Linked DNA regions of Drosophila melanogaster. The protein of the gene in region 2 interacts with the protein of the main gene of each other region in a pairwise test. Each region holds a gene or a part of one and is shown on either strand. Other genes may lie near its edges.

The links.
Region 1: the proteins of CG4073 (region 2) and bip1 interact in a two-hybrid assay, tested with the Drosophila melanogaster proteins (one large-scale study listed by BioGRID).
Region 3: the proteins of CG4073 (region 2) and witty interact in a two-hybrid assay, tested with the Drosophila melanogaster proteins (one large-scale study listed by BioGRID).

What each region holds. Positions count from the first base shown.
Region 1 is NT_037436.4:8,051,909-8,063,753, forward strand, and holds bip1 (bip1), read right to left. Parts: upstream 6,806-11,845; 5' UTR 6,553-6,805; intron 6,186-6,552; exon of another isoform or gene 6,139-6,185; coding exon 5,972-6,138; exon of another isoform or gene 5,593-5,971; intron 4,468-5,592; exon of another isoform or gene 4,401-4,467; intron 4,301-4,400; exon of another isoform or gene 4,266-4,300; coding exon 3,968-4,265; exon of another isoform or gene 3,893-3,967; intron 3,532-3,892; coding exon 2,737-3,531; 3' UTR 2,425-2,736; downstream 1-2,424.
Region 2 is NT_033777.3:10,709,889-10,718,504, reverse strand, and holds CG4073 (uncharacterized protein), read right to left. Parts: upstream 3,708-8,616; 5' UTR 3,575-3,707; coding exon 2,693-3,574; 3' UTR 2,604-2,692; downstream 1-2,603. Other genes in the region: CG14689 (uncharacterized protein), read left to right, coding at 7,366-8,616.
Region 3 is NT_033779.5:8,333,355-8,344,624, forward strand, and holds witty (without maturity), read left to right. Parts: upstream 1-4,932; 5' UTR 4,933-5,085; coding exon 5,086-5,134; intron 5,135-5,225; coding exon 5,226-5,311; intron 5,312-6,829; coding exon 6,830-6,956; intron 6,957-7,509; coding exon 7,510-7,811; 3' UTR 7,812-8,702; downstream 8,703-11,270. Other genes in the region: CG14273 (uncharacterized protein), read left to right, coding at 9,575-9,635, 10,029-10,487, 10,718-10,956.

The DNA.
Region 1 (11,845 bases), on a different chromosome or scaffold from region 2:
CATAGCAAAAACAAAACGAAATGAAAGAAAAGAAAAGCATAAAGGCACCGAAATGCCAAGGCATTGTGCAGCAAAGTAGAGTTTCTTTTCAACTTTTGTTTATAACTAAAGTTTTTCTTAACCTTAAACATATAGAGTACAGATTGTTTTCCCCCTCATTTGACCAGAGACAACCGCTCGAATTAAATTGACATCAGCATCGACATCAAAATCATTTACATCTATAAGCACATACTCCCCCGTAGTGGTACATATACAATACGACTACGCATACGGATAGTTAGTTTTCGTTCGGTTTAGGCACCGTGTATATAGCATTATCTCCTTATCTCCACACCCCCACCAATAATTAGCCCACATCTCTCTCCTTAGCTCAGTAAGACGGTTAGCTATGAGATAATACGAGTACGAGATAAGTAATGGACATGTACATTATACTACACGAATAGCACAACCCCCGATTGGAGCAGGTCTGAACTAAAACATAATGTAATTGACACAAGATATCGGCTCATATGGGCCCATATAATTTGATTGGCGACTGTAGCGCCTATTTGAAATGAGTTCATAAGTTAAGGATCAACTGTAATTGTAAACTGCATTAGTATTTGACTTGTAAACCGATTTTAAGGATCATTCTTAACTATATATACTAGATACGAATTACGCATTAATTTACGTTAAATGAGGATAAAACGAAAAATTGTGTAAACTGTTTGTATAAAAAATAAGAACAAAACAAAAAAAAGAAGAAAACGAATCCATTTTGTTTTATTTATTTATCGCATTACCTAAAGTGGATCCAACCCAACCCAATGCATTTGCTAATTAGAATTTATAGCCATGTAACACTGCAACCCCAGACAACTAGCACCCACTATATACGATATGTGTATGTATATTTATGGACAATATTTGAGATTAAAACACAACACACCACACACCAACAATTCTTCAAGTTTGTATTAGAATACAGGTACAAAGACAGCATTCCATTGAATACGGGATACCTAAGGATGCCATGTACATCATAAACTTTGAATATAAACCAAATATATGATGATGAGACTCTCAGGGGAGAGAAGTCTATTGAAACCAGAATTGGTCAAGATTGGTAGAATAAAACATAAAAATGATTGCGCTCAGGTTATTAAATGTAAAAATTACAAAATACTCCTATATACATATATGAAATAATCCCAAATTCGCATAACATATAAATAACCAACATATATGTACGTTTACCATGTTTAACAAAAGGCTGTTTGTAGAAATTGTGACACAGTTTTTTTAACCCGAACCCACTAACCCACATCTAAACGACGATTAACCAACTCGATGTGTAAATGCAAAATGGATAATTGAGCATCTTCGACTCCACAGTGAATGTAGTTCTAGTTGCTTACACTAACCAGACAGAAGCTGGCTGCTTTGTGCACTCCAAAAAATTATGTAAATACTAAAGAAAATGATAAATAATAGTAATAATCGTCGTATATAAATTTAGAGAAAACTTTGTGATTGCTTCTCATTGATGATGATGATGACATAACTGTTTCGTAGGACAACATTAAGGCAAATATTTTTTCTTATAAGTAGCATGTAAAAACACTCGATACGCTAACCGACAAAAAGGCAAACGCTATAATGTAGGACACTCCAAAACGTAGTTAACAAACACGATTTAAAACCATATAAAACACACCCTATACCCTCTAAAAAAAAATCGATGGCAAATGCTTAACGCAAAAATATGATATACGAGTTATTGTATGTGTACGGGAAAATTTGCTAAATGTTGTAAAAAGTATATATTACTCGATTATAATGTAGCACTCGAAATGGAGTCACTCCAATCATGTAGAAATCCTCATCCAGTAAAGGCACGCAACAAAGTTCCCTAATACTTTACACATAATTTGGTTTCCTTGACCCGCAAGCTAAATTAAACATGAAGTGTTTAACTGTATATATGTAATGTATTAACCACATTAATCGGATATACTAACTTAAAACGAAACTGAGACCCAAAACATACACGTGTAGTGGTAAATGGGCCGGCAAGAATTGTAAATTACCAAATGCAATCCTTTCTCCAGGACGAAGTGAAGCTGCATAATTTACATGGAAATCGTAAAGACACACTAACCATTGTATTAACTAAACTAAACCACACTAAATAAAACCGCATTAGACTTACTAAATATTATTATAACGTAACTAAAAAAAAAAAAGAAAGAAATATGGAAGAAGAGAAACCGTAAACAAATGCTTTCAAACTAAATAAAGTTCTTTGGAATTACAATGCAAAAAAAAAAAACCAAAAAGATAAGAAAAAAACACTAGTGTTATTAATTGTGGGTCGTGGTAATATCCCCTCGTTATATACCTTCTTATCCCAAAAATAAGACTCTTAGACGGTTTATCTTTCTGGCTTAAATCAAGCTTTCATATATTCAATATAGAAAGAAATTCAATCTTAATTCGTTTTTATGGCTCAACTTTTACAAAATCTACCCATCTCCAGGTGGGTAATATCAAATTTCTGATAAGCTTACATGTCTAAATGGGGAGCTGCTTCAGCTCTTACAATTGGCTTAGAAATTAAATTGGTTCTGCTTCAGTCTTACACAAAGTTATGAAATGCCTTTGATGTATGTATGTGTATGTACGAAAATAAAGGGAACTGCTTCACATGAAATGGAAAATAAACGCTGTGCCCGAAAATACTGATAACTAATCCTTGTTGCCGTAAATACTGTAGCTCTTCTCCACGAAGATCTGGATGGAACGCTTCACGTTCTGCTTGTGGGGCTCGGGCAGCTGTTCCAATTTGGGTAGGATTTTCATTAGGAAGCGGAAGTCGGGCGATAGATTTATGTTCGTCTCGATCTCATCCGAATTCATTGTCAGTTCCGAATTCTCGGACTTTAGGATCTTGGTATTCTGAATTGGCAGTGGCATCTGAATGGATGAAGGCACTGAGCTTGGTGTGGACGTGATCTTTGCAAAATTAGTTGGATTCTTTTTGGGCGGCAATGTTATATGTGGTCTGGGATTGTTAACCACCGGCTTGGCTTTAGTCACCACTGGAGCTGGTTTGATCTGCTTCTGTTCTTTGTCCTGTATGCGATTCAATAGCTCGGGCAGTAGTTTCTCCAAATGCTGGGTAAGATTGGTCTGCGGCTTGTCGGCCATAATCATTAGTTTCTTGCCCGCCACATCTTTATCCTGCTCCACAACCACGAACATCTTACGCTTCTTGGGCTGTCCATTTGTCTCCAGAGTCTGACCTTTCGTCTCATCCGATTTTTCGGTGATCACGTACAGTTTCCTCTTCTTGGCTTGACCGTTCTCCAAGCGGTTCAGTCCATTCTGGGAATCCTCTAAGGCTGATAGTGGTAACGAGGCTTCGTAGTCGGAGTTTATGGACAGCACATCGCTGGAGGCCGAGGAGCTAATGGAGTGGGAACGCTGTGGCATGGGCATAATGCCGGTGTTGGGCTTCTTGGCCTGATGTCTATTGGGGCTCTGCAAAAAAATGCGGTTCATTAAAATACATTTATAGTGGTATATATTTATATATGCATACAAGCAGTTTTAACCATATCTTTAAAATATGAAATTTAAAGAGAAAGAACGTTGAAGGGTTCTCTGAAATTTTAAAAGTTCAGGATCTGTCGCTATTCGTTATAAAAAATTAAACTTTTACGGAATAAATAGCTTTGTACGTATTTTTTTAAGACATGCTTGTATTGTTGTTAAACTAACTCTAATAGCATGCCCGTTTTTGGAATACCATTTAATGCTCAAATACCTATACGATTTATTTCAATTGGTTAATAAACAACGAAAATTGCGTTACGGAGTCTAAAACATAATTTCTGTCTGAACTGAAATTTAGCTTGGGTCAATTACCAACCCCTATGAAAGCTGAACTTTTGTTTTCTTTTGTGCTGCCACTCACCTCAACAAGTTCAATGGTGGTGCTGCTGGCCACCGCCGACTTGACAGCACCGCTCCCAGTTCCTGCACCTCCTCCTCCTGCTAAGGCGCCTGCAATGACCGACCCTCCAGCGGCATTAATGGGTAGCACAATGCCCTTGGAGGACGAGGACTTGCGCAGCGGCGTCATCTTGATGCGGGTTTTGGCCATCTCCTGGCGTTGGCTAAAGTGTCTGGAGCAGATGCGCAGCTTTTGGAGGCCGCCGAGTTGATCCACCAGTTTATAGCTGACGCCAAAGTGACGCAGCCAATGATTGCAGCTGCACGTAAATAAGAAAAATAAGATATAACGACTACTATTACTAACCACCGAAAGCTTAGTTCAGTACGCTTCTTTTGGAGGGGGAAAAAGCTTTTCACACATTTTCCATGTTAACGCAAAATGGAAAACATACCAATTATTGGGAGAACAAGAGTCCACGAGCTAGTTGCGATCGGTTGCGCAGTTCTTTGTTTAATGATTAAACTGACAAAATGAAACTGCATTGGAGTTTCGTTCTGGTTCTTGCGACGCTTTCAAATTAGATCCGACTTTCGCTCTCCGCTCTCTTTATCGCTCTCTCTTGGAAAAGTTCTTGAAAAAGTTTTCGCTGCAATTAAGCTCTTTTTATGCTTCTTTTGCGAGTGCGAACGAGAAGCAACGCTTTCGTACGCTCCTTCTCGCTCAGCGGAAGTTTCGCGGGGAATTGTTATTGTTTGTTGTTGCTGTTGCTTTTGCTGCAGCTTCTGCTCAACTTCCCCCTATTTTTGTTGTTTCTGCCGATTTGTGGAAGATGGGGGAATGAGGCTTATTTTCTTTTTGCCTTATGCTTATGGCTAGGCGAAACAACAACAACAATTAAGGCCTTTAGGGTGGACCGAATGCGAAATTATTGTGCAGGTCAGGGACAGCAAAATCATTTGCCTACTCATACCATATTTAATCTGACTTACTAGCCAAGTTTTAAATAAATTTTAATCGCTTGAAACCATTTTCATAAGAATGGTTTATGCTTAACTTACAAAACCAACGTACAACTGTGTGAAATTAAAATTATTGTCATAATTCACTTTAAAATTTCATACTATATCTTGAAAATTTTTAAACGGAACTCAATGACTACAGTTAGATAACCAACTATTATAATTAAACTTAGCAAACGTCATTCTTATTTCGATTTTGCTTATAAAAGTGACTTTCACTTTTTTGGTCTCAAAGTACATTTAGTGATAATACCGACGAAAGGTAAAATATGAGCTTTCCTTGATAATAAATAAAGCTTAACATTCTGGGGTTTCCTCGGAAAGAGGAAGAATTCGCTTAACAGTGGTCCACTCTAAACTCCATGGCCAATGCCAAGTAACTTTGGCAGACGGAACTCTATTTTTTTTTTTTGCGCACCAACTGCAGAAACTGGAGATGAAGAAGCAGCAAAGAAACACAAAATAACTTCACTTCACGGCCAGCAGAGCAGAGCCCCACGCGCATTTGTTGCATTTACAGGAGAGCGTGAGAGCTATAAATAAATGGGAGTCGGAATCTGGGACCTATCCCCCGCCCACCCACTGCCCCGCCCACATCGGCATTATTGCATTTCTGATTGCTGCACTGCACAAGTTCTTAGCCGCCATGGCATTGAAATATTCCTATGAAAATGATGCACTTTTATGCGAACCGAGAAAAAAACAGAGAGACAGAGACAGAGAAAGAGAGGGAGGGCGAAAGTTCAATGACCTTTGACTGCGAGTATCGGTATCGGTATCAGACGAAGAAGAGGAGCACCGAGCGGGGTCCAAAGCTTTGGATTGTTATGGCTTTAATGGTATGGTGTTTAAAATATAGAATGAGCACTTGTGATTCGCAACAAAAACAAGCTTCGGTGATCGAATCGATCGGAAAGCTCTCCGTAGGCTCTAAAAACAGGTTTAATGTGGTTCTTGGCAGGAGGAACCTACATATGTATGTATGTATGTGTATAATACTCACCGATCGGTATCGTGGACTGGAAAACGACGCAGATCATTGGGCTTTACATCCTGGCAACCCATCAGACAAATCCTGGAGGAAGGTGGCAATACTGGTTCCGGCCCATTCGCGCTAGGATTTAGCGACACAGCCTGGCAAATCCGAAGAGTGGTTATCGTATTCGTCATCTATCAAATATTATTTTAAAATTGGATAAAATCACTCATTTTAATTTAAGGTTATTGCTTCTTTTATCATTTTATTAATAAGCTCTAGTTTAGAAAACCATTAAAATAAGTACATACATATATCTTATTTATTTTCTTATTTTCTTTCTTGGAATAAAAGAAAACCTAGAGTGACCCCAAGAACTTTCGCTCTGGCGAATAAAAGCTTGCTTTGCTGCACGTAGAAAAGCACCAATAAGATGCACATCCACGGAAAAGCTTTTTTGGATAACTTGTGCTTGCCTTTCAAAGCCGCGTGGTCTTACCTTTTACAAAATACTTTGAAATTAAATATAAACATATGTACCCCACATCGCCATTATTTACCTATGCTTATCTTAGGAAAACAGATACATATGTACATAATGAACTCACCTGTCACACAAAGTCTCCTTTTCTCTGACCGGCAGTTCTGAGTTTAATAACCCCACGGCAAGAACTCTAGGTGAAAGCTTTCGGTTACGGAACTTTGAATACAATTGGCGCCGGTTTAAGCGATCGCAGCTAGATACGATTAAATGAAAAGGGCATCTATCTTCTAATTAGCGGTATGCTATGCGGCTCCGATTACGATTCTGTTACGTTCTGCATTCTATACTGCGCTACGTCACTCGTGGGAGCAGACTGTCGAAAGCTCCGCCTGCGTCACGCGAAGGCACCGCGCGAAGCTCGGTTTGGAGAGCGTCTCTCCAGCTTTGTCGAGCTTTGTGCCCATGCGTGCGAGATCTTCGCCGGAAAGCTCTGACAAATTCGGAATCAGGCTGAGATTTCAATCGCGCACAGTAAAAACTACCATTGAAGGACATTAAAAAATAGGTATTTCTTTTATGATTTATTATTTTAATGAGTCATATTTAAAATAATAGTGTTTTAAAGAATAAAGTACTGCGCAATGAATATGTATCAAATCGAAGAAAATAATACTTCAACTACTACTTAATAATATGATGTCTGCGCACCTTTCAATTACGCACCTTGTAGTTGATTGTATATAATATATTAATTGTACATTGCAATACTTAAATACCACTTAACTCTAGTTTTATATGCTTTTCGAGAAATTAGCATTTAGATAGCATTTTTGCTTATCAATTATCAATTTGTAGTGTCATAAATTTGCAACATAGCTAAGCCGCCAACTTTTCCATCCCATAATTAATTAAAAGTGTTAAAAGCTTTCCATAAATAAAGATACCAACAGCTGCAGGTGTTGCTTTGGGGCGTGCGTTCAAATGATTTTTGTACATTAATTACGGCCGCACAATTCGCGATTGGCAGCCTTCATTTGGATATTTAAAAGCCAATCAATTGGCGGTTCGACGAAGTCATAAATTTCAATGGGCGCTCATCAGACGAAGGAGGCAAGCCCCTCGAAAAAAAACAGGGGCGTCGAGCCGCAGATAAGCATCCACTTGTCACATCACTCATATTTCCAAGACGTCAATTTGCATTGTCTGTGGAAATTGCAGCCTGCAGCTTGCAGCTTCTTGCTGTCACATGCCAATTGACCCATTCGCCTGTTATGGCCAGGCCAGCCTCAATTTCTCAAGTGCTAAAGCAAATAAAACTTTAATGGCTAGTTTTACACTAGCCAAATTGTCAATTGTCGTGGCCAGTTGATTGCGTTTTACGACCGACAAACAGCAGCATAATTACGGATGGACCTGCACTGTTTTTTCCCAAGAACAATTGTGAAAACACAAACTACTGAGTGGGCCGCATTCGAAAACGCGCTCAGTCAGCATTTTAATTTCTGTCTGATTGAGCCGAATGACTCGAGCTGGCGATGAATGTAGAAGTAGAAGTGTTTGCAGGCGATGCCAGACGGCGATAATTCCCAAGGGGGCCAGGCTTGATCATCGCCTGTGTGGTCTCGCTGTATCTGTCGGTCTGCCCGACAGCCGGGGGCAATCGTTAACTGGCAGCCGATTATGTGATTGGAATATTGACAATTAGGCGGTTACAAATTGATTTACTTGTAATTTTTCTGGCGCCCCTGAGAGGGAAGCTGGCTCGTTAAAGCAATCTAATGTATGCTCCAAACAAATGGTGATCATTGTGAGGGGCAAAAAAAGTTTTAGTTGGAAAAATTAATCGTTTTGCTGAATGAAATTGGACAAAAAATCTTTGTCAGAAGTGGGATTCGAACCCACGCCTACAGAGTAGACTGCGACCTGAACGCAGCGCCTTAGACCACTCGGCCATCCTGACTCTCAAGAGCCGTAAGATCAAATTTTCTTTTGGTTGGGGACCACATACTGAAACGGTTCATTCTCAAAACTGAAAAGAAGTGTGTGTTTAGCACAAGTAAAAATAGTTTAATTGGTATTAGAAAAAAATTGTGGAAAATAGAATAAAAGAGTATTGTCAGAAGTGGGATTCGAACCCACGCCTACAGAGTAGACTGCGACCTGAACGCAGCGCCTTAGACCACTCGGCCATCCTGACTGTTAAACTAACGAGTGCCAATTTCCAGTTTGGTCAAGAGAGAGTATATTCTTGATTTAATAATTGTAAAATACTTTGGATTTTAGAAATTTTTATTTTTGTAGCTCAAAAAATAAAACGAAAAAATGGCAAAAAGTTCTTGTCAGAAGTGGGATTCGAACCCACGCCTACAGAGTAGACTGCGACCTGAACGCAGCGCCTTAGACCACTCGGCCATCCTGACATTTGTTGTTCGGGTGTCAGAAGGCCAATCCGATTCGCTGGCATTGTACTGCGGCAACATTAAGTATACGCCGTGTATTACGAATGTTTGAAAATCACACTTAACACTTTGAACTTGCTGCCCACACTCGAATGCACTCCCGATGAATTATTATAATCGGCACCCCTGAGGCAAAGACAAATTGCCGTTCGTCGCGGCATGGAAAGGTGTGTACGGACAGACAAGACACGAAATCAACATGCAGGCGATGGAAATGATAATAAAAAGCAGGCGAAATCGGGTCAACGTCATACATCACACTGTGCAGATTGGCAAGTGTCACTTTTTTTATATATTTCGATTTGTTGCCCAACAAATGACAGGCAACAAAATGGCGATATTCATCGCAAAGGTTGCTTAGGGGGAGCTGACGATCGAAACGGGAGTAATTAAGTTGTAGTTTTTCGGTTAGCCAAACTGGCAAAATGTCAACTAGCCCAAAGTGCGGACCGCTTGACATTTCACACGCAGCTGCTGTTGCTGTTACTGTTTTTGTTTATGTTGTTGCTATTTGTTTGTATATTTTTTATATATGCAGCATTTACTGGTCGCACGCACTTTCAATGCATTTCAATTAGTTGTAGCCGCAGCACAGCCGCTCCACTTTGACTTTGAGTGGCCGTACTGGACTGGATATTTTCCATTTTTACAGACTGATGGCAGACACTTGATAGGCCTGAGCGTATGTTAATCGGCCAACTCGACCTGACAGCCCAAGTTAATTAAAGTTTTCGCTCCCAACAGCCACCCAGCGTACATAATTCCCATTAATTTGCTAGTTAGCAACGCAGCCACTGCAAAGACCACCTCAATTGCAGTCGACTCATTATGATTAATGATCGGCATGTACAAGAATTGTTTGAGGACCGCGGTGACCCACAAAAGGCGACACATTTTCCAAGCGTGGCCAACTAGAAATAGAATTAGCAAATTGCCCGAATGTCAATCAAGCGTCATCAATCAAAATTTGTGCTACTGTCAACTCGATCACAATACAAATATAAATAAGCGCAGCCCAGCGGGCTGCAACAGTTGGGTGCAGCTGAAATATTTAACTGGAGGTTGTAAATTACCATAACAATTCTGAATTCGGTATTCTGGGGAGCTATGTATGTGGGTCAACCAGAGGAAAATCCCCTCCCGGCCAAAACCCCATGATATGTCAGCAGAGTTGTTAGCACAGCCGCACAAAGGTTAAACTGAGGCATTGAATGGTTTTCCAGCTTCGAACTGATGCTAATGGAGTTTGGATTAAGTTAACACCCGATTACCTTGGGCCGTCTTTCCATAAGTTCTTTAGAGCAAATCATTTAATGAAGATATTGTCTAATTTCCGAAGATTTAATCTGCTTTAGCATCAGGCGTTTGGGGGCTGGGAAAAGTGTTTAATTCACGGTGATACCAAGTGACAAATGGCTATTCCACTACAGTGGACAGCCAAACGACACGCGTTTATGGCCGCTTTGATTTATTGGGTTCTTTAATATAATTGCATTCATATTTAAATGGGGTTTTGAGCTGAGAAACAAACTAATCTGAATAGTTCAGTTTTATGGAAAATAATCGTTAAGGTTGTCGCTTTCAAAAACTAAATGATTTATAAATCAATTATTATAAATAAATTATGAACAAAACTAAAATGATGTATAAAGTTTAGAATTTGCCCATTCCACATTTCAATTAATATCCGAATCCATATGAAAATCTCCCCATAATATTTCAATTAGAGTTCTATTGATACAACTCCGTCGTGGCAATGCTCCTTTTCAAGTTCAAAGTCAAAAACAGCCAAAAAATAAATACGTATTTAAATTGAAGGAGGGGTCTAAACAAACCGAAGACTCTGTGGAGCATTAATCAATTGTGGCTCACTCTTCTTTTTGCCCTGGCTATTTTGTCGCTATACTTTTCTGCCAAATTTGAGCAAAGCTAATTAACAGGTTTCATTGTCTCGACTTTGGCGGCTCTGGCGAATACCATATTTTTGTATTTTTCCCATTCTGTTGCTCAGTGTTTTTACGATCGCAATAAAACAAATTATTGTGGGGGCGTGTTTGTTGTGGGAGGGGAAAAAATACGAATTTGCATATGTATATGTATATGTATGTATATGTATATGTATGTATGTAGAATGGGGTGGAGAGTTGCAGGGGGTGAAGTCCAAAGAAAGCACCTGCAAACAAGTTGTAGAAAAAAGCCAGTTCCAACTGCTTGTCTTAAACACACTTAATTAAAGATGCAACTTGTGGTTCTTAAACATTTAAGTTCCAACAATAACCCACGCAGCCATGGCGGCAGTCATTAAATGGCAATTCACTTAAGGGCACTATTTAAATCTTAAAGTACTGTCGATTTATTTATTATTTAATTTACTTAATTTACGTATTCAAGTTCTCATTAACGCATTAAAAAATCAAGATATTGAAGAATTTTTTAAATTTATCTCTTTCCAAAAAATGTTTACATATTAATGCGATTATCCTTATCATTTTTAGTTTTCTTATTAATTTTCCACGTTTTGCATTGCACGTGCAGCGGTTTCAGAGAATCAGAGAAAAAGAGACGGAGAACAGATAGAACTCTCCCACGCATAAAAAATTAAGAAATTAAAGCAAATAACAAACACAAACAAATTATTTCTCTCTCTTTGTTTCTCTGAGAGCACTTCTGCGATCAGTGCTGCCAATTTTGTCTCAAATAATATCTGTTTTAAGTTACGCTAATTTTGTGGTACATTTTTTTCATATTTTACTTTATGTTTTGTTTATGCGCTTGCATCCAGCTTATTGATCTCGGGTGCCACCATTAACCCTGTACTGAAAAACTTTATTGTTATGTTATTGAAGTTTTCCAATTTACCTAGGTTAATATTAATGTATACTTCCCCTAGATTTATCAAACATTTATATATATCTTATATCAAAGTTTGACTTGTATTTAACTACCGTGCATATGTTT
Region 2 (8,616 bases):
GCCAAGCCTCAGCAAATCTCACCTGCCAAGTGGAAGTGCCTGCCTTTAGCTGATTAAGCTCATTTATCAGAAGTGAAGCCAGCCCAAATGGAGGTTCCTCGAAGTGCCTCACTCGGCTCAAGAGTCTGGCAATTAAATGGCCTAAACTGGAGACCCAGAAGTCGCCTACGGCATTCGCACAGTAAAGAAAGTTGAAGTCAATATTGATATTCATGTTGGGAATCCGTCTACAAGCCTACAAATTCCCAAGGAACGAGGATGCCACAAGGAGGGCGTAAAGGCCAAGGCATTTTGGTATTTGAAAAGTTTGGCGCGCATCAATTTGGCAAGACAAACATATAATCGTTAAAGTTTTAATTGTACTGCTCAAATGATGTTCGCTGCCATCTAAATTTAGATTGAACAAAGTTTTGATATATATTAACAGAGTTTGCGTTGCTCAAGAGGGCGGAATTTAGTTCGTATTGATAACATTCCGCAAATTTAATGAAATTATCACCAAGAACTTGTGGGTACAGCAAGCCCCAAGCGATTCATATGGTGTGTGCCTACTTTCTTTAAAAATATTAAGCAAACATTTTACTATGGAGCTTGCCATAACTTATGTAAATGATTTAAAGATACACTTTTTGAAGTCAAAGTAGTTTCTCTGCGGAGTTAAAGCCCCCCAGGGAGAAAGTGGCTTTCAACTTTCATCTATCAGCTACTGCGTCTTTCTCAAGGAATTCTGTTCCGACGTTTGTCGAATAGTTGGCAACTTTCTTCAATTCATCCAGACCCATAACTTGACATGAGCACAACACCCCTCCTCGAAGTCCTGCCCTCGCCAGACATCTGGAAACTATTGACGTGTTCCACGTTTTATGGCATCCGCCTCTTGGGATCCAAGTTGTGCACCCATACTTCATCTTCCTGCCGTTGGCTTATTATATCGCAATGTTGATTTCATGGCATTCTAGCGGTGAATCCTAAGCGTTGTCATAGGGAAAAAAAATCCTGCAGCAGAGGATCTGGCAACATAACATAACACTACTAGTGTGGAAATTTTTTTTTTCAGGATGAAGTTATATTAAAGATTTTTAAATAATTTTTTGACTTTTGGCTTCGATGTGTGGGATAAAAGTGAGGCTGTCCTCAATAACCATGTTCTTTTAGCATGTTTTATAAATTACCTGTTCGCATCACTGGTTGACACGGTCCCTATGGTTGAGTCCGGCACTTGTGAAACTAATTGCCGTAGATTCCGACCAAATCCGTCCGGCATCTTGGCCACAATATGTTGGACAAATGGACAATTTTATGAATTAATTTGATGTCTCGGCTGATTCGCTTCTCGTTATTCGGAGACACAAGGAACAGCCGCAAAAAAAAACTTTTTGCATAATGGAGCGGAGAAAATGGGTTTTTGAACCGAAATGTACGGAATTTCACAGATGTCACATGTGCAGAACAAAGGTTCGAGACAAAGAATTCATTGCAGCTGAATGATTAATTTGAGCTCATGGAGCACATTGCTTTGATGATTATAACGACCATGTTGATGTCAAGTTAATCATTGACCTAACTTTTTATGTCCACCTTGGGCAATCTATTTTCATGACTTATAATGAATAATAAGCTTACCATAAAAGGACGATGTTTTTGTTTAATTAATTGGTGAATATAAACCAAGGAATTTTAACCCTTAAGAGTATTATACACTTAAACCACATTTTAAATTTAACTAACTTTATGCATTAAATTTAAACACTGGCAATGAAAAACCAGTCGCAGACAAACAGCATTTTATTTCAAAACAATTTCGAGACCTTTTATACAAATACTATGCATGTTTTGGACTCACAGAAGCCCGCACTGTTTTACATCCACAACCGGCAAAAAAAAACATTGCCCTTGGACTGCATTTTAATGTCCAACTTGTGGTTCAGTAAACAACTAAAACTCTCGTCTGTGAAAATAGCCCCTCTGGAGGCCATTATCCTGCTGCTGCTGCCACTGCTGGTGGAAAACTATTTTTAAAGAGTTAAAAGCGATTCAACGGAAATGGAATTTATAAAATTAACATAAGTTGAACCCAAACTGAAAATACAACTTTGAGTGGCCCTAGGAGAGGATATGGATGATTTCAGAATTATTGAAGTGAACAAACGAAGGCAAATCCAAAAATATCCTTGCACTGCAAAGGGCTAAGATGGAAAAATTCATAAAAATATGGCTGGGCCCGGGTATTATTTATTTTCATTTCTGCCGCGGGTCCTTTCCGTTTCCCTTTGTCCGGCTGTCTGTGTAATCGGCTAGAAGGACTTAGATAAAACACGAAATGGCCACAAAAAGGATCTTGTCGCTAAGAGCAACTACACCCATACACACTTCATGAATACACATGCAAACATCCTTCTGGATGAGAGTTCGATAACCGGATTCCGAACTGAACCCGGCGGCCTAAAGGCTTGCCAATGTTGGTCAAAACAACTGCACACGTCAGCAAATAAGAATAAATTTGTAAAAAATTACGGAACTATAAAAGCATGACGGAACTGTATAAGCCTGCTGCTATTAGTTAACCAGTTAAAACTAACAATAATAAAGCCACCTAATAAGCTACAATATATATGTATATATAGGAATTTGGGCAATATTACATTTCTTAAGACTATATTAGAGATGATGATACACTTCCAACAATTTTATATTATACATGGTCCACCAAAAACTGCCCAAATCGCACCATAGTTGAGAGTGGGTGAATCATATAGACGAACAGCATGGCCAGAACGGTGGCCTGCAGGACATATTCGGTGCGATCCGTATGCTCGAATCTTCGCTGGTGGATAACGGTGATGGTGAAGAGGATGAGACTAGCCACGTAGATCAGACTGACCATCGAGACGTATCGCATTATATAGCGATTGCCGTTTAGATACACAATCAAGTAGATCGAAACGACAATCGCTATGCAACAGAATGTGAGGACGATCATGAAGATGCTACCGGGCAGTATTTTCAGCGGCAGATAGACGCCCATCAAGTAGAGCATGACGTTCAGGGCCAGCACGAGTGACAGGACACCAGTCATCCAGAGCATCGATAGACGAGCCCACCGGTGGCAATTCACAAATATCACTATCACCTCCACGATGACAATGGCCAGCAGACCATTGCACGGACACTGGTTGGCCAGGTACACGTAGGCCATGATCAGCACACATCCCACGGCCAGGAGCAGCCACACGAAGCTGGGCACCGATGGGCTAATTAGCTCCCCGAAGTCCTTATTGCAGAGCCGCAGGACCACAAGCTGAATTACTGCACTTGCCGATAGAACCGCGTGGATCAAGTAGACCCAACCGAGGTGTTTCTTCCTCAGGTGCACAGAAGAGCGTTGGCGCAAAGGACCCGACGATGCGACCGGGCTCAGCAGGCCCGGGGATTCTCCATATGGTTTCGCAGGCTCATGCGGTGGTGGAGCAGGAGCGGGAACATGAGGTGGTGGCCTGGGTGGAGGTGTTGATCTTTGACCAGTCGGTTTGCGTAGACCCGTCGATGAACGTGGCGTGGGATTTGGCCTGCTCATCTTTCTGCGCGTTGATACCACCACCCCCGTTGTGGGAACCTGCTGGGTGCTATGAACATGTATATTAAATATGAATATATTTGATTAACAAGGCGGTGGGTGTACTGTGGGCAAAAAGTGTTATGTTACAATTTAGATCTACTGAAATAAACGATTGGAATTTTTCTACTGAAACTAATACAGTTAAATGATTGATACTTTTTAGTGTTGATATGTGATGGAATAACGAATCGATTGGATGTATAATTCTGTTAATGAAACCACTGCGCAGTATATGCATACTCATGCATATTAAATGGGAATTATGCTGGCCAGAACTGAAGTGCTAATCAATGACACGTGCTGCGTTGTCACTAGACTCATTAAGATGGCCCACCTTGCACCTGATGATGTGTTTACATATGTATTCAGCTCTGGCGAACTGTGTGCGCTGAGGGCCAACTTTTTGGGCCATTTTGTGGCTGAGGCTTTTACTGAATTTTAATTAGACTCTGCCGCTGAAAAGCCAGCACGTGCAGAAACATTGGCAAACACAGCCTAAAGCCAAACAACAAAGTCAGGAATTAAATAAACATGAGTCGGGCAAAAAACTTGCCTGGAGGAGAGGAAACCAAGTGGTGTCTTATTACCTAGCTTTCTTTAGAATATGTTATTGAGTCAGAGATTATCGCGCTTTGTTCGCCTGCTCTCTAATCCTCAATAATCGATGACAATATGCGTATTTATCTAAAACCGTGCTTACACAAATGTCAGCATCAGGAAATTTGGGCATTCTCGATATTATTACCCCAGTTTGCTGTCATAATAAGCTTTGGCATTAAAAATCCTACAAATGCCTATCAATCGGCCTGCCACTCAGAGCAACAATAACTTTTAAGAGATTTAAACTGACAGTGCCAATAGCCAGGAAAACCACAACACGAACAAATGGCAAATTACGGCAAAGTGCCGTAAGGAAGTCATAGTAAATCCAATTAGAAGGACAATCGGATTTTATTGACGCTCGAATGAGTTGAATTTAGCTGTGAACTGTACAACAGATTTATTGAAGCGGAAGAATTGAATTTATCCTTAGGCAAATACATTTAAGAATACATATGTGACAGCTATATAAATTAGTATCAATACGTACATTTCCCATTTCGATCTATTAATTTATGTTTTATTTATGCTTTCATTGAAAAACCAACCTTGTTAATGCCGCAGAAAATTGATGTAAAATGTAAATGTAATTTACTTATCCAACCAATTAAAACGTCCATCTGAGGTTGTCATGACAATGGCTCGAAATATGAAGTGCCATCAATAATGTCTGTTTGATTGATTGAACTGGCAGATCCTTGTGCATTTGAGCAACAATAATACTTAATAGATACTTGCATTCTATTAATAAGCACTAAGCATTCCCCCTATCTAATCAGGGGTGTCAGCTTACATTTGTCAAATCTTTAGCCTTGAAAGTTAATAATAGGGCTACGTATTAAGTATTCATGGGAAGGAAATTATTAGAGACATGTGAGCCGGGCAAGTGTGCTCAAAGAGGGTTAATTATTTAAAATCGTATTTCTAAATAAAGCAGGACATTTGCGGTAAATATAGAAACGAATGTTTAAGCCCTGTAAAGCACTTACCTACGGCAAAAATTTTAAATTTAAAACACCATTCGGTGGGGGAAGACATTAAATATGCCTTATGTGGCACGTACCTACATCAAAATCATACCGTGGCCCTCCAACCGTGCGACATGCAATTGAACAAATAAATCAGAGGGCTAATAAATATTTAGCAACGATGGTAGGAGCTGCCTAAGGCCGAGGCAAAAACCAAGACTTCCATAAATGCCGCCGACTGAGCCATTCAAGAAGCCAGATGAACGGAGCGAAGGACAAAGCACGATTTCAGGCGACAAAGCAGGGAGTTACATCTGGATGAGTTTCTGTAGCTGTTGCTATTGCCGGTTTTCCAGCTCTTTCAGATTTTCACGCCTCTCCTGTTCTTCCCTTCCCTTTTCGTGACTTTCTGGCTTAAATGCTGTTGCCTTCTGCACCACATTGCGTATACGTGATGTGCCACGACACGGGCTTCCACATTTAACAATATGATTAAAGGCAACTTTTAGCACCTGTTCTGGCTGTTGATTTCGTATCGAGTATTAATTGCAATTTATTTTGTATGCCAACACTCGAGACGACTCGCATGCAATTAAATTATTTACGCATGGGGGGCATGGCGCATTTAAATGCTTATTTATGCATATGTAACTGAAATTGTGTACTTAACGCATGTTAATCGCAAACGTTTGTTTAAGCAGTTATCCTTCGAAATTACTGTATAAGAACGGGAGTAAGGTGCATAGGAATCCGCCCCTTTAAATTTTTACATAATTAATAGACAATAAATTACTTTTAAACAAATGATGATGCAATATGAATGACATCATAGCTATAATTAATATATAAATTTCCTATGTAATGAATTTTTTCTCAAAGGAATAGCGAAACTCATTGTATTTTCACTTCTTCATTATGATTTTTTCAGTTTTCGTTTCCCTCTTAAGGTTTTCTTTAACTACGTCCAACATATTTTTTTTTTGTCCATATTAAGCCCTTTCCGAAGAACAAGAAGCAGCTGGGAATTGTCCTTGTCCTTTTCCAAGTAATTTCAAACCAGTTCTACATTCATAAGGACTGTGTGAATTGTACCAGGAACTTCTAGAACTATTATTTCCAATGTACAGAAAATAAAAAAATTTCCGGACATAGAAAATATTCAAGCTAAAAGGCAGATGGTCCACCTATTTTTATGTGAGCCTTTCAAGCGTTAAGTGCTCAGCGGCGTTTTAACAAGTCCTGGAATTGTTGACAACATGTCAAAGAAAACAATGGTGCAAATAACTATGGTTCCTTTTCTTTTCTCCTTTGTTGAGCCCCTTCTATCATCCGTTTGCAACGAGTTAAGTTCATTAAGATGAAAGAACTAAACATTAATTTCTATCTAGAAGACCAAGTTGTTTTTCATTTAGTTTGAAAGCACCACTTAATGTGTCACTTGAAAAGCGTAAACAGGCATTCACTAAATAATTATCTGTGATAATAAGGGGCCATTTTAAAAAGTGTGAATGAAAAAAAGTTATCTGTCATCTGAGCTTAAATTTTGAAATGAAATATCATTTATGATAACACTTCAAAAATATTTTTACTTTGAATATAACTAGACTACACTGTTACTAAGAATAGAAAAAATGCATTTAAAAATTTTAAGAAGCAATAAAATAAGAGTCGAAAATATGTTGTAAATTTAGTGAATTGTTTAATTTGTAATGCTCGAAAACAGCAAGTAATTTATTTAAACTTAAAGCTAAAGTTAATCCGGAGCCCCAAGTGCCACAATAAAAAACATGAAAGCTTTTTCTGTGTTTCTATACAAATGTTGACTATAAATTAAAGCTTATGGCTTCAAGCACCACACTCTTAGCTTCCTTTAACAAATGGTATTTATTTTACCAAAGACGTTAAAGAAGCAAATTCATTTACTTGTCGATCAATTCAAACAAATTCAAATATATTTTCGAGTATGTAATACATTATAATCATTTTAAAAGTTATTTGCCATGCTTTATGAAAGCTTATTTTCATATTTGCGAATGCTGTAATCAAAATTCATTTTAAATTCTGTCAGTTAACTTTGTACACACTTTACCACTAATTATAGAAACAGATACAGAAATACATAACAGAAAAAACCTTTAAAAACACAATTATAATTAAAAATATTCAAAAAAAGACTGAGTCATGAAGAGAGTCCATGTGGACAACTACACACCGAAGTACTATAGTGGCAAGTGGTCCTGGAGCGCCGAAAAGGATTGCCTGGAATTCGAGCCGCACAACGATCTGGAGAATGCCAGGGAGCGCTACATCACCACCAATGGCTATAAGTTCCTGCGCATCATCGACCAGGAGGAGGAGCTTATCTTCCGGCAGGCTTACGTGCGGGATACGGGCACCTATGACTTTGACACCTTGGTGATCAACGACATCCGTGACCTGGTCCTCTTCCTGATGCCCAGCGATTTTCTGACCTACCGGTTCGTGGAGTTCATGCACCGCCCGGCGGTTCACCGTCTGATCCATGCGCTCATCATTTATTTCGAATACTTTCTGCGTATGGTGGAGTTTGTGCTGGTGCGGCGCGACGAATTGGCCGATCAGATCCAGAGCGATCAGACCATCGATATGAAGAAGACATTCTCGATCTATCTCAGTCAGTATCGCCTCCTGGTGGCCCGCAACTACAGTGTGATTCTGAAGGGAGAGGGCGATATGGCCAAATACTACCATATGAAGGAGATTATCAATATTTCGGATACCAGTCGCGACCGCGTCTTCCACGAGCAGTTTCTGGCCGTGATGACCCAGATTGTTTGGATCTGCATGCATCGCCGTGCGTACAATGTCATTGAGATGGAAATGAACCGTCTGTTTCGTTCCGATCACTTTGTTATGGCACGTCCGGAGTATCTGAGCTTTACGCCGGCGGAGCGCAGTTTACTGTACGGTCGGAACCATAAAATCGTTAACTATCGCACCCAGATATCGCCGCTCGTCCAGGAGTTGGAGCACGTGGCGGAGGAGGACATGCCCATCCTGTGGATTGGCGAGCGAAAGTACCGAGGCAACGACAAGCGCATTGCCGAGATGGAGCTGGAGTACATTGTGCCGGGACCACAGCTGCGTATGATCGATGTGGCACACGGCATACTGGGACATCCGAAGGATCTGTACAACACCATCCTAGACCTGGACTGGCCCACAGTTCGCTACTCAAACTTTTCGCTTGGCTACGATCCGTACCACATCATTCGCCAGCCGCACTTGGACATTCCCAAGATCGACGCCTTGAAAGCGCGCAAGATGAATGAAAACTACGAGCATTTCTACAAGGTGTATCGCATCTACGAGCCGCACAGCGTGCAGATCCTGCAGAAGTGGCTCAAGCGGGACAAGCTCGTCCAGTTCTATCGCTCCGGGGGACTGCTGCTC
Region 3 (11,270 bases), on a different chromosome or scaffold from region 2:
TAGGGGAAGGATCTTTTGCTGCAATAAAGGGCATTATTAAGTTTTTTTTTTACTTAAAATCCTATATTTAGTATTTCAAAATATTTGCAAATTTATATGATTGAACTTAACCTTCATATAAATTGATTTCTTAGCGTGCCGCTCATTTATTTGATTTTAATGCGCCGCAGAGCGTTGTTGTTTGTTCTTCGCAGACACGCACACAGATATAAAAATACGCTCACACAGATACGCGCAAGGAGATACAAATACAAATACAAATACAACTTCTGGTCGACCTACATGCGTTAGCATTTGTGTTCTGTCGTCGCCAACTCAAATGCTCAACTGCTCAAATGGCTCTGCAGCTTTTGTCTATGGGTGCGTCTGCCGCCCGAGTGGCGCCTTGTTGCCACTGCCACAGCAACAGCATCCGCCCCGCCCCCTTCCGCCCATCCAGCCATCCACCCTCTGGTCCGGCCACGCCCCCCGCCACCCCATCCTCCACAGGCTCATTGGCAGCCTTTCTTCCTGTCTGCTCAGACGTTGGCTTCCTTTTATTTTCGTGGACAGCGTGGCGCCAACATAAAAAACATTGATTTTGAATTCAATGAGCGCCCTCGCCAAAAACGTTCCGCAAATCATTCATTACTGTTATTTCTGCTTGTTACTGGCTGTTCCACAATTTCCTAATATCTTTAATTGTTTGATGTGTAGTATTGGTATTGGTTAAACATATATTAAACAAAACCTTAAATTCTTAAATAGAAGTTAGTTCCACTTTAACTTTATCTTGAAATAAGTTCAAATGTTTAGATTGATTTTACTCATATGTAGTAAATATATTTTATACATTTTCTTAAATATATATGCATAGTTAGAATTTTACCTTAAAAATATTTTTCATAAATTTTTCACACTTGAGAGCCACTTCGCATTATGCATCATAAAAGCGAGCTGGAATAAATGTCATTACGCGCCAAATTGCGCATACGCAGGGTTGGCGCAGCTCGAAAAATAACAAAACCCCTCAAGTGGATAAAGTTGTCATTGTCTGGGGGACTCTGGCATTTTGTGCAAGCCATTGCGCAAATATGTATGCAATCCAATGTCCATTGTTTTATGGTTGGAATTTCTATTCACATAGCAGTGGTAAATGTGGTTTATAATTAATGGAAGCTCAAGTTTTTGTTTATAATTTAAAAATGCAATTCTTTATTCTGCGGTGGATGGTGTCACAAAATCGAGTTGAATGCTTTCTTTGCTTTTATTTGCTCTTCGCACACAAAGCAAATTTAAGCTGATTATGCTGGTTATTTGAACTAAACCAGCTTTGTTTGTTTGTTTTGCCAGTGGTAAATCTCAGCAAAGCTTTCCTTGTCTTTGCCATTTGTTAGCATTTTAGAGCGAATCGCAAATTCCGCATGTTAATCAGCTGCATGATTTATACTTGGCTTTGTTCTTGCCAAAGGCACATAAATATGTTTTTATTATTCAAAGCGCACATTGAGTCACGTTTCGCAGCCATCGTGGCGTATACGCAATGCGAAGTAAATATTTTCACTAGCCACCTAGAAGTATGCAACGATATTTTGTCTTTGTCACGAACTCTCAAAAGCTGATTGCTGTTGATAATGGTAATGGTGGCGATGCCATGCTGCACTTGCTCCCAAATTCCTGTGGCACATGCAGCACATGGCAGACACCCACAAATTGCTGCCATAGTTCTTCGAGTTGCTTCGCTTTTTCATTTCGCCCAGCATGCTCCGTGCTCCGTTGGCTCATTGACCTGTGAATTCGTGGTAAGTTTAGAGCGAGAAAAGTAGCAGGAAATCTCTGCATTTTCCTGGTCGATTTTCCTTTTGCCTTCGGCCCACCTGAGGCTGCTTGAACGGCGATGGCAGTCAAGTGCAAGTGATTGCTGGAAAAAATTACGTACTTGGGCATTGTTTGCCTGCCAAATTGATTTCATCTGCTCAGCATTCCGGAGATGATCGGCCTGGCAATTGTTCAAGTGATTCCGAGGGAAATAGGTAAATTAAATACATACATATATTTTATGGTATAACAAGGATTTATACCAGAACCGATTAGCTTATAGCTATATTATAAGTAGATTGATGGGCACCTCTTAGATTAACCGGTTTACCTAAATTAAACCATTTTAAAGAGCTTTATCCTTTCAAATACATTTACCTATATATTACATGCTACTACAGAAAAGTAGTTTTCCACGTCAATTGAAATTTATTTATATTTGAGTTTAAGCCGGTTGAATTCCCCAATCAGCCATAAAATACCTTCACTGGTAGCACACACATATGTTGTAGTGCAGAATAATCCCCACGAACTGTGTGTAGGATTCTTTTGCAATTGTGCAAGCAGTTCTTTTTATGTTCCTACTCTCCACCACTTGCAAGTGTATTTGCAAGCGATTGATTTGCCCAGAAGCTGCTAGATATAGGCAACGATAAAGTTTTATGTTTATTGGTAGCACCGCAGCTAACTGGAATTGGTTATCCAACGTCCTTGGCAGTTGAACAAACTAATTGGCAACGGGAACCGGCGGCAAAGTGCGTGGAACGGTGCGTATACGTAATAAAGCTTAATTACACTAGAGTCAACACAGAAGTCCAACGTTTACCGACTCGGGTTCTCTTTTGTGACTATATAGCTTCAACTGGGTACGTCTGGATAGGATTGTCTGACACAGTTTTACTACACAGCCGTAAATATTTCATCAATGCGGTGGAGAAGCAAAAAGTTTTTCAATTAGCATGCCAAGCGAAAATTTCAACTAATTAAAGGTCATTTTGTGGGTGGAAATCCACAACAGCGCACAAAGTTTTGACCCCAAAAAAATGTTGTTGCGTTTTTTTACTATTTTGGCAAAACAAAATTTATGACCATGGTAAAACAGACTGGAAAAAAAGAATGAGAGAAAAAGTACATTTTCCGATTTGCACGGTTCGATGGAAAGATAAAAAGGTTGTAAAACGAAGTCGAGTTCCAACGAAAATGTGTCAAGTTGTAAAAGTCGAAAGCATATGAATGCCTTACATTCTAGGGAAACCAGTGAAATGAAATGCCAACCGGAAACGGAAGCGTGCATAAACAGTTTTAATTATGTCCTGTTGCTGTTAGCAAATGAAGTGGCAACATGCGATGCGGAGAATTCACCGAACACCTCGGGAATTATGACATCAACACTCGGATGCCATCATCGTCATTGTCCAGAAAGCTCAGAATGTGTCCTTGCCACTAGCAACCTTATTTGGTAGTGAAATTGGTCTGGTTCTGATTTCGTTTTTATTCTACCTTTCCCTGTGCAACAGGCTGCGATTTTATGGCCCACGGCCAGCGAAAAGTAGTGAAACTACGCTTCTCCAAAGGATAATTGCAATTGGCGCTAATTCGAAATTCCGCTGGGAGTTGCAGGAGTGGATTACTTCGACTTAGCTCTTTTAATAAAGTTGCTACAATTGAAACTTTTAACATTCCACAAGTTTTGTCTTGCGTTGTTTGCTTGAATTAGATTTTTATTAGTTGTTTTTCTAGAGAAAGGGCCCCAATTATCTGATAAGCTTATGGTTTGGTTAAAAAAACAAGTAAATATTCCTTAAAGATCCACTGAAGCTTTAAAGATTGCTTTTAAACTGCTGCAAAGTGAGTGCCTGAAGGCAATTCCCCAACCACCTGCAGCCACGCGACTATTCCTTTATTATCCACCAGAAACACAAGCGGCACCATTAGCTAACCCTTTTGGTGGGCTTTTGGGGCCAGGGTCGCGACCTACACCAATCACGGTCTGCATTGTTTATGATAAATGGAAACGCTTGCCAGCTGCTCTGCCCCGCGGGAGATATGAAAGAGCTGAGATTCGGTTTCAGTTTCGGATACGGGGTGGAGTGGGGCGTTTCTGGTGGCGATGCGGTTTCCTGTATGTGAGGACAACCGTGAGCTGGCGATAAATGTGCGCCCACGCCCGGGATGTCGTCCTGTGGCCATGCGACGAGGTCAGGGAAAAGAATAGGGAAGCCGCATTGCAGGAACGCCGATGAGTTTTCGCTCTTGGATGCCACTAATTGCTGCGCTTTGTTGCTGCCACCCAATCTCCTCTGGGCATCTACCCCCCACCACCCTCCTGCATCCTTTTCATTCAGTTCGTTTTCCCACGTTTTCGCTGCACTCCAGGCACTCATATTCTAGCAGAATCTCGCTGGAGCTGCAAAACTACTCATTTCGCGCTTTTTTTTATGAATACATAATTTAATTTGAGCTTCAGTGGCAAACTACGAACTGAAGTTATTAAAAGGATAGTGTTGTTATAATTTGAAAGGCACTTAAAAAGTTTCATCGAATATGAAAAGTAGCAAGCATTTCAATTACAAATACCTTTCACCACTTTTCTTAACTTAATAAGAACATTTTTGTGATGCATAACTTTAAAGAAAATCATTGCAAATTAAGAGGAACAGTTTCTCCCTGTGCATATGGCTATCCAATATTTTCTATTTACTCAGTTATTTTTTGAAATAAAACTTTATTATTCAAATTTTTTCGCCATGATATCTTATTGGCTTTGGTGTTGAGCCGCGGTGCAGAGGCCAAAAGTGTTTGGCCACAAGGAAATTGCATTTTTTCCGTCGCGTTGCTGCTGTTCCTTTGACGAGTAGTTGCCATCTTTGGTTTGGGCTGGTGCATTTCGCATTTTGCAATTTAAATAAATTTTCCTTTGCTGCCATGTGGGGCGGCCAAGACGTTATTACTGTCGGAATCAGGAGCCACTCAAGCGACGCACCCACGCAGGCAAAAGGGATCCCAGGACGAAGGACGCAGGACGAGCAGCTTCGCTTCGTTTCGTTTCGTTTCGATTCGGATCGGTCCAAAAACGATGACGTAGTCGTCGTCCTTTTGCTGGCAATTGCCTTCGCCAAGTTGGCCAGCAATTTCAGTTTGCCTTTGGCCAACGGCAGCGACAGAACCTCCCGAACGTCTTGGAGCGGAAAATTCGAGAAAATCACAGCGCGCGAGTGCCAGAAAATATTTGAAAAATCTGCCAACGAAAAGGGAATAAATCAAAGAAAGGAAATTATTGTGTGAATCATGCCGGGAATCCTATTGCCACTGGCGCTATTGGCCCTCGTTTCAAATGGTGTGTGTGTGTTGCCTGCGGTTATTGGGCTTGTAAATTCAGAAATTCCTAAAATGATAAAATGTACAAATGTATATTGCATATCCCACAGGCGCAGCCATCAGGTGTTATGTCTGCGATTCCAGTGATAATCCCAGTTGCGCCGATCTGGGCTCGAATTCCAGCATAGTGGCGGAGGTGAGTTGGAAAGCAGATTGCTAGGATTGATTGATTACTGGCCTGTTGTGACCTGTTGGCGGGCCACTGGGTTGCCAGGTCAAGTTGGTTCAACCTTTTCAAACCTAATCGCATTCAAATCGACCTTAGTTCTTAGTCAAAAGCTTTGGCCCAGACGGTCGCAAGTTAAAGCTATATGGCACATAAATTTGCACTAGCAAAATACAAAAAAAAATAGTACAAAGCAACGGTTGGAAATGGAGCCCACAAAAGCGGAAACGGAAACGTGCTCCGTCGTCGTCCTCTTGTGGTGGCAACCCACTTTTCCCCTTTTTTTCAGGCTAACTGAATTTTCTGTTACTGGCATCTATCGCCGTTTTTAGTTGACTGCTACTTAACCCGGCCACGTGCCAAACAGTTGAAATACTTTCAACTTTCAACCAAAGTCCAACAACGTAAATTTCAAGCTGACAGGTTCTTGTAGGTGTCTAGTTGCCCGTTGGTAGAATTACTTTGATTTGAAGTGGCGACACCTGAGCTCAACTGGCTTATAATGCTACCAAAACTACTGCCAAGCACTTTAATTAAAACCATTAAAAAATAAATATCAAGAGAACATAGTTTCAAAGCTTTTGGGATATGAAAAAGAAGTTTCCAGACTCTTAAGTGGTCTAGAATTTTCTTCTGCTTAGTTAAACGTTTTTGACATCGGAAAATAACTTTTTTTATTCTTTTCTTAAGTTAATGAATCACTAAATCAAGTTGGTAAAACTACAACTGTTAATTGATTTATTTCCACAAAAACAATAACTTTCCTAGAACATCGAAAAAAAACTCAGTGTCAAACTCGCTGAAAGTCCCGTGCGACTTTCTTATCATTGCTGGAAATGATAGCCAAATTTGTTTTTAGAGACGTCAAGTAAATTCTTAAAATTTATTTCATTTGTCAAATCAGAGATGTGAATAATCAGCCACAAAACAGCCAAATGGCGCAAAATGTTCTGATTATTAATGGCCTGAATTATTAATTACGGAAATCTTATCTTGTATTGTGAGCGAAACTCAATTTTGTGTCAAAATAAATAATTCAAAATCAAATTAGATGCGCCAAAATAATCCCCTCAATTTATGTGTCTGATCGTATTGAAGATTTTAAATCGCAAAAAGAACAACAAATGTGACAATGTCATTTAGTTATTCCTATTAAATGGAGCACTTAAGGTGTTTATCCACTTTATCGCTGAAAACTTAAATGGGGTTTTCCCCTTTCTCGGTAAAAAAAAGCTGATACCTTAACGCCTAAGCCTTTCCAAGAATCGTTTTATTTCACTTCTTATCTGGGCTAAACAAATAGAGTTCAAGTGGTCTTGGTCTGGATACCAAGGCCATTCGGAAAACGCATCGTTAACGATATGGCCGAATGATTCGTCGATAAGATTAATAACTTACGCATCGAGTGCAATGGCAATTAATACTTTGATTAACCAAACAATAGGCATTCGTTGTTCCCCGGATTAAATTGCTGATAATATTTTTTAGGAATGCACTTTGGACAAAATGAAATCGCTGGACACCTGGCTATTTGACTTGAATAAGTTCTCATATTTCGATAATGGCGCCAACAAAAGTCCGCTCATGAATTGCCAAAAAGTTGTGGCCAAAGACCGTGAGTATTTTTTTAGGAAGTATAAAATATCAAATATATTCAAATATAATTTAATATTTTTAACATAGATTTAAATTCACTTGAGTAATGGTATCACATTTTTACAGCAACTTGACTCATTCTTATGGCTAATAAGCGATTCTTATCAAATGGTTAGAAATAAAGCTGCAATTTGCAGTGCGACTATTGTAGAATGTCAATAAAAGAAGCCCTAAAGATAACGAAAAATTTTATAGTTCACATGACACAGATTGTTTATTCAAAGCACTTACTTTTTATGACAATAGCAATTAAGTTTATTTGTTACATTCCTTTGGCAATATTAAGGATTCTAAAACATCAATACTTAAATTAAATTACGAGAACTTTACTTGTACTACAGTCATTTTAATTTATGAGCAAATCACTTGAATTTTCAATTAAGATTTTAACCTTTTAAATATAGTTGTATATATAGATGTATTGTATATAAATATTTAAATCAAGTGAATTTAAGTAAACCCAACTAAGTTGAGCTAGTTCTTAAATTTCGATATCTTGCTATTTTTCGCAGCTGATACAAGGAAAGTGGTGACGGCGCGCTTCTGCCAACTGGACACCGGCGACTCGGATGCCTGCGAGATCCTGCGTACCAAGCTTCGCATCCCGAGCCCCGAGGAGCGGGAGCAGCGGAATCGCAACCAAAACAAGCGAAGGAAGGGTCACGGCCAGGATGCGGAGGAGGATGACGAAATCTCCGCAGAGGATGCGTTCTTCTGCGGCATCTGTAAATCGCATCGCTGCAATGGTGCGGCGGCCGTAACGCTTTCCTTGGCTACGATTCTGGCCATGATTGCGCTCCAATTGGGCTGCTAAGCCAGTTGGATGGTGTGTGAGGGATATGGACAGATAACCGTGAAACGAGTGGTGGCATGATGGTTGCATTTAGGTTTTGATTACTTTGTAAATATTTGAGTGCAATGTCGCTGATTCGTACAGGTTGCTTCAATGGCACACACTACTTAACCCCATTAACCCCCTACTCCCTTAACCCTAGAAATGTAAGCACAGCACAGACACACACACGATACACCGATACAGTACATACAAGAGGAAGGAAAACACACACGGAAAAGTTCGCTTTGATTCAAAACAAATATGAAACTTTCGATTTTCAAAATAAATACCGGCAAAATAAAGAGTAGGGATATGTGTTAACCATACATCCTATATATCAATATAAAAATGGCATTCTATGCCATTAGCTCTTGTTGTTCAGCTTTATTATGTTACTATTCAGATTGTTAGTTTTAATGGCTTGGAGCGATGTGCATAGGAATTCACCAATTGCCTTTAATTCTCATATAATTTCTTAGGTAAATTGAAAAGTGCTAAATGATTCCAAAGTGCTTATATGTCCTAGTCAATGAATTCGTGTTAGAATATTGAAAATTTGATAGTACGTAAATTGACTGTAAAAGCCGCAAGCAAAAACAATCAACTTAATGCAAGACGCGAATTTAGGAATCACGTGAAACAAATGCAATAAATGTTAGTAAATGTGCAATTAGATGAAAATGTCAACGAAAAGCAATGCAACAATTATTACGTGAGCTTCAAATCGGCTAAAAACAAACAACAACTATATAGTACCATATGTTTTTTGCGACGCGTCGAGCTCTCAGTTCTGCTTAGTTTGTAAGCGTTTTTTGAAATGGAAACTAAATTGAACATTCCGAGCACACAATAAATGCTGTATGACAGTATAAAAGATTTTGGAGTGCGAATTTTTTAATAGCCGATAACGATGACTTTTATAACAGTCTTGGCATCAAGATAAAGGGTATCTGGGTTACTGGAGCTTGGAAAAAAGTATCAATGCAATAAAAAGTATATTCAATTCATAACAAGAATATTGATTGCCATGAAATTATTGTATTATATTTATTTTTATATTTGTTTGTTGCGTTAGGCCAACAGAGCGTATGCGCGATATTCGTAATACCTCTTACTTTCTAACTTACTTTCTATCTTTTCAACGGTATCCAACTCTTCGAGTGACAAAAAAAAAACTCCCAGCCCATATCAAATATTTTGTTTTTGTTGTCTTTTGCTCCTTTTTGGACTTGTGCTCCGCAATCAAAGATAATTTTCCCATTACTCATGTAAAAGATGCTTCAGTTTTTCCCGCCTCCTACGCCCGCTTATCAATAGCTCGACCTCTGTCGCTCCATCATGCTTTCCCTGTCTCTCGCATTTAATTTGAAAGTCTGGGCCGATGCTATCGTATGTCGTATGTAGTTTTTTTTTCCTGCTTCCCGTGAACTACATGTTTCACCAGCCCCGCAAATCATGTGTCAACCCCCCACAAGTCCACCAAACCCACATTTATGGCTATGAAATTCAGTTTTTGATGAAGCAAACAGCAGACTCCGGAAGGTTCTTTGTGCCAGTTCAATTTGAATTTTCGGTAGCTGACACGACGACGTTGGAGCGGTGAAAAAATAAATAAATTTATAGAAAATATATCCATAGAAGGCTGCTCAATCTGGGCAAGTTGCATGCTCTGACACTTTGACGTTTGGCAAATTGAAAGTTTTAAACTCCCCATTCACCACCCCATCATAAACCTGCCCGGAATGCGCTCCTTGTGGCTTCTACTTCTAGTGGCTTTCGTTGGCTGCGGCCCATGTGTTTCAGGTATGTCATAAATCATCGAGTGGTGTAAGCCCTACACCGTATGCTAATTGATTGACCCCGAAGCGAGTTACAAAAAGTTGCGCATACGCAACGTTGAACCAAACAGAGGGGTGCGCTTATTGCTTGGGTAATCCAGCTGATAAGGTGAAGCTGATAAGGCGCACCCTCACGGGTGCCCTTTTAAGGTCATAGGTTCATGTTTCCTTTTGTGAATTTCCACTGTGAATTAAACCTTATTTTGCATTTCATATTATGCATATAGTTATGTTATTGGCATAAAACTAACAAAAATATTAAAATGATTTAAAGATCCATATTAAAGATGATATTATGAGCAAGGTGGCATATTTTTATTTTTACTTAATATTTATTTAAAATCTCTTCTTTGCCCAGCTTTGCGTTGCTACAAATGTGAAGACTGCGATGAAAATACGCAGCTAAGTGAAATGGAAGTGTGTGAGAGTCCACTGATGGGCGGCAACTCCAGCACGAAACCAAATCCTGCTCCTTCTCCATCACCAGCTGAAACGAATAATACAAATAGTGCTCCTGGCTCCTTCTCCTCCTCCGATGCCAGCGAAGAGGAAGAGGACTCTGAAAGCGAAGAATCGGCGACCATAGGCATCATGCCAGCAGGATCCGGAACAGCTGCTGTAGGCGGAGGAGCAGCTGGAGGAGCAACCGGAGGAGCAGCTGGAGGAGCAGATGGATCAGCAGCGGAAGAAGTTGTAAGCGAAGAGGAGGAAGAGGACGAAGATGAGGAGGATGAGGAGCGACGCAGGCGGAGATCGAATGCACGACAGGTCGATCTCGATGTGCCAATTGCCTTCTGTTACACAGTGAGGCTCCAACGTAAGCAACTGCCGCCCATTCCCATGGGTGTGCATCATAAAAATCATAAAAACGCCGCCTGGTGTGATGCTCCCCCACCCATGGCGATAAGTTATCTACGACTGAGTCATGCGAAAATAGCACACAGTGCAAACTGAAATGCACTAGATGTAATGATTTGTATATAGATAGGAAAATATTATTATTATTATGATTTATTCAAACCTTATTCAAACCCACCTGCTCCACAGTTAACGAATCGACGATCACCAAGAGGGGCTGCACCACCGCCAGGAGGAGCAATCAGACGGGTGGATGCGATGGTCTCTTCGAGAACTGGACGGTGGCCGGATGCCAGCTGTGCCAGGACGATGGATGCAACCAGCCCATGGCCATCGGATCATCCAGTAGAAACAATGTCCAATTCTGGACACTGCTGGCTGGACTCATGCTAATGGCATTTATGACCCGCCGCCATCCGATATGGTAGAAAATCAGCAGACACGGCGTGGGGGCTCGATCGATATGAAATATAGAAATACAAGATATATGGCCGCCACAACTTCGATTTCGACTTTGGTGTCTGAGTTCATTGTTTTTTGGGAGCGCTTGCCGATTTAGCGCGGGCACATGATGTGTCTATTTATACCTTGCTTACCACTCGAAACGTCTATTGTCTGGTGGTCATGAGCACACCTGAGCTATTTTCGCATAATTGTTTAATTGGCATCGATAAGGAAGGCATTGTCCCTTTTTTTTCCAAATTCTACCAGCTAGGGAAAGTGCTCGCTCATTGAGTAGAGG